Linked DNA regions of Ovis aries. The protein of the gene in region 2 purifies or fractionates together with the protein of the main gene of each other region. This does not show direct contact. Links are inferred from orthologs where the notes say so. Each region holds a gene or a part of one and is shown on either strand. Other genes may lie near its edges.

What was found.
Region 1: the proteins of EYA4 (region 2) and DCTPP1 purify together in Homo sapiens (affinity purification with mass spectrometry; 3 studies listed by BioGRID and IntAct, with this or other methods). This does not show direct contact. The link is inferred for Ovis aries from reciprocal best matches to the Homo sapiens genes EYA4 and DCTPP1.

The regions. Positions count from the first base shown.
Region 1 is NC_056077.1:27,117,982-27,122,240, forward strand, and holds the start of DCTPP1 (dCTP pyrophosphatase 1), read right to left. Parts: upstream 2,806-4,259; 5' UTR 2,766-2,805; coding exon 2,668-2,765; intron 1,986-2,667; coding exon 1,875-1,985; intron 1-1,874. UniProt on the Homo sapiens protein: Hydrolyzes deoxynucleoside triphosphates (dNTPs) to the corresponding nucleoside monophosphates. Has a strong preference for dCTP and its analogs including 5-iodo-dCTP and 5-methyl-dCTP for which it may even have a higher efficiency.
Region 2 is NC_056061.1:58,960,901-58,964,412, reverse strand, and holds part of EYA4 (eyes absent homolog 4), read right to left. Parts: intron 2,271-3,512; coding exon 2,204-2,270; intron 678-2,203; coding exon 535-677; intron 360-534; coding exon 216-359; intron 1-215. UniProt on the Homo sapiens protein: Tyrosine phosphatase that specifically dephosphorylates 'Tyr-142' of histone H2AX (H2AXY142ph). 'Tyr-142' phosphorylation of histone H2AX plays a central role in DNA repair and acts as a mark that distinguishes between apoptotic and repair responses to genotoxic stress.

The sequences.
Region 1 (4,259 bases), on a different chromosome or scaffold from region 2:
CACCTCTCTTAGGAGCAGCCCAGTCCTTGAAGCAGTGAACTCCCACCTCCTGGTAAGTTTCTTCCAGGACAAGTCAACCCATCTGGGCCCTGGACTCCTTATGGTGGGGAAGAGACCTCATCAGATGATTCACCCAGACCTCTGTGTTCCTACCTAAGCCAAGGAGAGGACATTTCACTTATTGGGACCCAGTCCTACTTGCCAACCCCCAGTCACTTCTACCCCAGACTAAACCTTAGACCTGGACCACGGCAAAAGTCTGCTAACTCATCTCCTCTTCTTACCCTACCATCTTTTAAAAGAACAAATTACATTTCATCCCTCCCCTGCTTAAAACTCCCCCAACTGGACTTCTCTGGTGGTCCAGTGGTTAAGAATCTGCCTGCCAATGCAGGGGACACGGGTTCGATCCCTGGTCTGGGAAGATTCCACATGCCATAGGGGCAGCTAAGCCCGTGTGCCACAACTGTGAGCCCATGCACTGCTCGAGCGCCCTAGAGTCCATGCTCTGCAACAAGAGAAACCACTACACCTAGAGAGTAGACCCTACTCACTGCAACTAGAGAAAACTCACATGCAGCAACAAAGACCCAGCACAGCCAAAAGTAAAAATGACAACTCCTCCAACTGTTCTTGGAATAAAATCCAACCTCCTACCTCGCCCTCCAGGTTCTGCATGAAATGACTCCTGTCTCTGCCAATGTCATTATCCACCACACTCCCTCTGACCTGCCCCCCACCCACCCTTAAAGCCATTCATTCTGGCCTCTTCTGTCTTGCAAATAGGCCAAACTGTCACAGGGCCTTTGCACTTACTGCTCCCTCAACCTTGAATGCTCTACCCCACCCATGCTTCCCATCAGGTCTCAGCTCAAATGTTACCTCCTTAGAACAGCCTTCTTCCTCTGTTACCTTCTTTCTCAACACCTTGTGTTATTTGCCTCCTAGAACTTGTCACAATTCCATATCTTTCAAAGTTAGTTCACTTATTTATTGTCAGTCTCTTTGCACTGTGAGTGTATCCATCTTGTTCAAGACCATATCTTGATTCTAGATGACCTAGCACCCAGACAGTGCTCATGCACCTGTAATGAATGAATGAATGGATTGCCCTCCCACACATCTGTGCTGTCATTTCTCCATGCCCCTGAGACTACCCTGGTTTAGTCCTCACCACATTTTGCCTCACCTACACCAGTCTCCTCACTGATTTCCCCTGACACAATTCTCCTAGAGGATCAAATCCACTCTGCAGGTACAGTGATCTTTCTACCACTCAAATCGGGTCAGGCGTTCTGTCCAGAACTCCATTACTTCCCAGCCGAATCCTACCATTCTGTGTTCCTATCCTACCCCTCTCCTCTGCGGCCACAAGAGATACATGTATCAAGTACTTATTGTGTGTTGGGTACTTGAGACACACCAGAGAACAAGACAGATACAAAACCCTTGCCCTTTGTCAAGAAGCTCACACTAAAGGAATCCTACCTTGTCGCTGAATTCCTACATTCTCACTGAATTTAACTCGCCCTTTTCCATCTCACTACCTTTGCAAATGTGGTTCCCCCTCTCTGGAATGCCTTCTATAGAAGATCAGCCTTTCTACCCCAGAGGCAGAGGTAAAGGAAGGTTGCCACCACCCCTTCTCAGACCTGGATCTACCTTGCTGTTTTTACACCTTTCTCTCCCAGGAGACTGGGAGCCCCTAGAGGGCAGCGGACCCATAAGTCATCTCTCTAAATGCCCAGCAACCAGGTACAGAAGAGCTTGGCAGTGAGGAGCGGAAACTGGATCCATGGATATTTGATGGTCAAATGAATCCTCCCCTCCCCTCCTCAACACAGACTCTTCCAGAGAGCCTGTCATCTACTCACAAGAGCTCTGCCAGCTCCCCCACTTCCCCCACCAAGGCAAGGAGGAGGTTCCGAGGCTGATGGAACTGCTCCCAGTCTCGTTCAGCAGCGAACTCAGCATGGAGGCGGCGGCTGGAATGGGAGAAAGAGGTGGAAGTCCAGGTCCAAGGTTAGGGGTTGGGGGAGGAGATGCGGGGCCCTGGCAGGTACTCAGTGAGATGCAATGGGGGCATGCGAGTCAGAGGGGATTCTGCAACTAATTCTTTGGATGGCCTAAACAGGTCATCTCTTTTTTAAAGGATGTGGTTTTCTCATCTGTAAAATGGGTGCATCCTTACACAGACCCTAAACTATCGAAATCTAATAATACCCTCGTTTTCATTGTTCCACTTCCTGTTGCTGCTTCTACAGTTTTCCTCCACCTGGAATAACCCTGTCTCTGCATATCTAAATCCTATTGATTTTACGGAATGCAGCCCCAGGACACTTCCCCCAAGAAGCCCTCTTGGATTTCCTCTAGAAAGAAATGTCTTCGACGTCTCAACACTGCATTTGCTCCCATCCTACCTCCCGCTCCTGGAGGACAGAGGCAGGGCAGAAGCATCACCGTACTCCGGCATGTCCCCTGCCTCAGATGTGTATAGTTAAGCCCATTTTGCAGAGGAGAAGGTTAGAAGTTCGCCTGGGGTCAGCCCCCAGAACTAGAACCTGAGCACAGCTGCTAGCCTTTCTTTCCGAACACGTGGAGGGACCCTACCCGAAAGGAGGGAGTAGGGGCGATCTACCCAGCTCAGGCTGGGCAAGGACGGCTTACATGTCCTCCAGCGTTGGTTCCGAGCTGAAGCTGAAGGGGCCGGTAGCGGTAGTGCTCTCTCCTCTGGCACCTCCACGAATCTCTTCATTCGCGGACATGCCGCCCACCGAGCTGCAGCGGGGACCGTCAGGGAGAACCAGCAGCCAAGCTCAGAGCCCCCGCCTCCAGAGCCCCTGACCAATCACAGGCGTTTGTGATTGCCTCACAGGGGCGGAGCCAAAGGAAAGACCAGTTACTCATGTGGAGTTAGCTAAATCCCTCCCCTTACCCGGACTGGACCAACCTGAGAGGCCTTCAAGCGGGTGTTCTTTGGCTCTCGCCCCTGAATTCTTGAGTCTTGACCAAAAACCTTAAAGATATAGGTACCGGATTCGACCAGGGGAAGAGACAAAGGGCAGAGAGCGGAGAGCGCAGGCGCGTCATTTCCCTTTGGGGCGCCAGATGGCACCAAAGCGAAATGACAGTTCCGGGAGCCTCGTGGCGAACCCCAGAAACGAATGGTTTAAAGGAGAGAGGAGAGTTTATTAAAACGATACAGGAATGTCTCCAGGATAAAACTGAGCCTGAGGAATGAACTGGAACTAGGGTTGTTCAGTCGCTCAGTCGTGACCGACTCTGCGACCCCGTAGACTGCAGCATGCCAGGCTTCCCTGTCCTTCACTGCCTCGAAGTTTGCTCAAACTCGTGTCCTTTGAGGACTTCTCTGTAACCTAAAAGGTGAACAATCTGCCTGTAATGCCAGAGACCAGGGTTCGATCCTTGGATCTGGAAGATCCTCTGGAGAAAGGAATGGCAATGCACTCCAGTATTCTTGCCTGGAGAATCCCATGGACAGAGAAGCCTGGTTGGCTGCAGTCTGTGGGGTCGCAAAGAGTCGGACACGGCTGAGCCACTAAAACACACACACACACACACACACACACACACACGTCCATTGAGTCGATGATGCCATGCAACCATCTCATCCTCTAGGGGAACTAGGGAAGCTGTTTCAATTTTACATATTTAATCCTCACAGCCTTTCATTCAGTCCTCAAATCAGCCCTCTGAGGTAGTTAATATTATAGTCATCATCTCCGTTTTACAGACACAGAAACTGAGAGATTGAGTAATTTAACTCTACAGCTAGTTAAGTGGTAGCCAGGTTACAAATTTAAGCAGTTTGGCTTCAGAATCTGGGTTAACTCCTACACTGCTGCTACTGCGGCTGCTGCTAAGGCGCTTCAGTCGTGTCCGACTCTGTGCGATCCCATAGACGGCAGCCCACCAGGCTCCCTCGGCCCTGGGATTCTCCAGGCAAGAACACCGGAGTGGGTATATTGTCTCAAATGGTGATAAGTACTATGGTAGATAGTAAGATAGAAAGGACCTGGATCCTTGATAACATTGCTGAGCCACTTATTTTAAAATAGGTTACAGAGATGCCCTGATTTAAGACTCTGGTTGTATAAGATAATAAATCACTTTATTGGTCAAACCACTTTTAGGGTTTTGTTTTTGCTACTTGTCTTTGAGAAATTGACATTTAACCTGAGTAATTATTAATAAATCAAGGGAAATAGGGGACTTCCCTGGTGGTCCAGTGGCTAAGA
Region 2 (3,512 bases):
AGCTTAAGTATTTAAATTTAATATGGGTCATGTTTCTTGATGTATGTTGAGCTCTTTTCATCATGTTTTCTTTTAGTTATCTTTTCCAATGGTATCGTCTGAGCAGTGGTAACATTTAATACTGTCTTCATGACTATATATTCTTAGTCTGAAGCCAAAGAGTCTCATTCAAAGAATTCTTTCTCACTTAACATGTATCCTGGGTGGCTGCTTACCTGGCATCTGGTAAGAATAAGGTGTCTGGCCTGGCTGTGGGGTAGAGAAGCCTGGGCTGTAACTGAGGCACCCACTCTGCAATGGGGACTGAGTTTGTGAGAGTCCACTCTCTGTCTTGATGCCTGGTAACATCACGCCCAGATCTGTTTGGAAAGTGCATGTGCAAACCATTTTATTAGTAAAATGATCGTGCTGGAACGTGAGTTGCAACTTATACTAGAATATACGTTTATATAAGAATATTAGAACACACAGCTACTAGCCAGCAGGATTACCTGCTTGTAACCAAAGAAGGAGAAGAGAGAAGAAGGGAAATACCGTAAGTGGGTAGGCTGTAGGGCTGTCCTGTCTGTGAGTAGGCAGTGTAGACGGCTGGCTGCTGCATTCCCGAATACTGAGTCTGGCCTGCATAGGCGGACATTGTTTGAGCTGCTGGTGTAGAAAGAATGTGTGGATAGGGCCTAAATATCAGAAAAATAGCATTACTGCGGCAACAAAGACTGTATATTATTTCAGACAGCTTAGATTCAGTGAAACCTGATAATAGCCAGGAAGTAATCCTCTTCTTTATCCACAACACCATTTTTACAATATAGAAAAGGACAAAAGTCTGAATGTCAGGAGAGCGGGCTCTGCTATAACCCAGTCTCAATACCTTGGACAAATAAACTTCCTAAGTCTATACCTCACCTGTGAAAAGAAAACTTTGGTTTAGATATCATCTTGAAAGTCTCTTCCAGGTCTATATTGCTTACATCTGAAATAGTATTCCAATTGATACATAGATGAGGAAAGTGGAGTCCAGGTCAGTTAATTAATGAGTCCAGGTCAGTTAATTGATTAATTAACTCATGAGCATTATTTCCTGTTACCATGCATGACCCAATGCCATGTAATGATTACAAAAGTCATTAAAAGCCCTAGGAAGAATTCCTTACAAGAACTAAAAATCTTATCGAAAAAAAATTTTTTTTAAAGTACGCAGCTTCTTGAAATGGAAAGCCATTCCCTTTATCTTGCCACATCTTACAGAATGTCCTCAAAATAGATATCCAATCTCTAGCCTATGCTTAAGGATAAACACTGTAGCTGCTGTAGAAAATAACTTTTAAATATGCATGATCAGGAATCCCAAATCTTGACATATCTCTCTGATGGCAACCAAATTCAGATATACACCCAATATGGTTAAGCTTGAAATGTTTACCACTGTCCTCAAAACGTTGACTACATTAGTTATACAAGCAATAGTGCATATTTTTCCAAAATGTTTATTAGAAGTTAAAATCCAATAAAAATATTATAAAGCTGGAACAAATTATGAAGTGTTGAGGTTTGAGTAAAATGTAATCTTTTCAGATTTTCTTTAAACTAGTAATAGTTTTCAAATTTTTATTGTAAAAATCAGTATATTCTGATCTGTGCTTGATGCTTTCTTCAAAATATATAAATGTTCGAAATTAAAGGAACTGTCTGGACAAAAGTGAATATATTCCTAGATTTGTGAAAGATATTTATTTATAGGTCTAATCTATCCAATGAATCTATCAAAAAATATATCTATTTAACTACCTATAACATTTATCTCAGAGAAGGCAATGGCACCCCACTCCAGTACTCTTGCCTGGAAAATCCCATGGACGGAGGAGCCTGGTAGGCTGCAGTCCATGGGGTCATGAAGAGTCTGACAAGACTGAGCGACTTCACTTTCACTTTTCACTTTCATGCATTGGAGAAGGAAATGGCAACCCACTCCAGTGTTCTTGCCTGGAGAGTCCCAGGGACAGGGGAGCCTGGTGGGCTGCTGTCTATGGGGTCGCACAGAGTCGGACACGACTGAAGCGACTTTGCAGGAGCAGCAGCAGCAGCAACATTTATATATATAAATATATCCTGACTTAAAATTATTATATTGTGTAAATACGATTAATCAAAATAATGCCAGAAAATTATTCTAACAAATCTTGAAAGACTACTGACCACTTACTTGGAAGGATACAGCTGTGGGGAATATTGATGCGCGGATCTGGGGCTGTAGCCACTACTTGTTATTACTGTGAGATACAAAAAATAGAAAAAAGGTTGCTTCATAAATATGTTTCATTGGTTTCACTGGAGTAATCAAAACTAATTTAAAGAAATGACCATGTTAGAGAGGTATTTCAAAAAATTCACTCATTTTCTAAATAGAAAATTCATTCGTTTTCTAAACAGAAACAGATGCCTATACATTTTTTTCTAATTAAACTGTTCCATATTTGTTCTAGGAAAATGACATGAAATCTTCTCACAAATCAACCCCCTTCATCATTCTTCCATTCTCTCAAATCAGTGGCATGCTCTTATGCATTAATATGCTATGAATAAATAACCTTGATTATAAGTAATTAAGCTTTCATGATATAAAAGTAAACCTTTTCATTTGCAAACTTCATGTTTTAAATTCCACACATGATGACAAGATAGTGTTCTTCCTACATTTACTCTAGTAGAAATTAAATAAAAATTAAGAAAAATGCGATGTTTCAACCTTCATTTTCAAGTTATAAAATGATAATGCTTTCTATTTCCTTTCATTTTGTCAATCTGATGAGTAGTTAAAATGCAGAGTCCAAATAATTCTCGTAATAACTGGAATATACACAGAAAGCCTGGGTGACAATGCAACATGAAAAAAAGCAGAACTATGACACCCAGCAGCAATCCTATTTACAAATGTATTTTGAACTCTCACAGACTAGACTTTTTTGAGAAGATTTTAAAGGTGAAAATCAGGTCTTATCAACATTTCAGCCAAACATGCAGTCCCAAATTGGACTATTTCCAAAAGTTTGGAAGTTTCTTTTTCCTTTAACCATCTGCCTTGACTAAGACAGATGTATTGCAAATATATGGACCCTAAAGTGTTAAGGCCGTCCCTTCAGAGCCAATCCACACTGGGCAAGCACACAGAGTGTCTTTATTAGGCCATCTGCTGTTCATTCACTTTTCAAAAAGATTAAAGTAGTATACAATGCAGCGCTGGAATTAGTTTAGCCTAATCAATCATAGTTATACTTCAAAGTACTGTGTCCTTTCGAAGTTGTTCATAATTCTGGAGCTAAACTTTCAGAATTGTAAAAGTGACAAATAGGTTTAGGTTGCTAACTATTTTATGAAACATGATATATTTCTATATCCAAATGCTATTAAGTATCCTTGTGATCTATTGCTTCATAAACACATAGAATTTAATGTATTTAAAATGCTATTTGGACTGTAAGCTCTGAGTATGGAGAGTATATTATAGTTTTCAT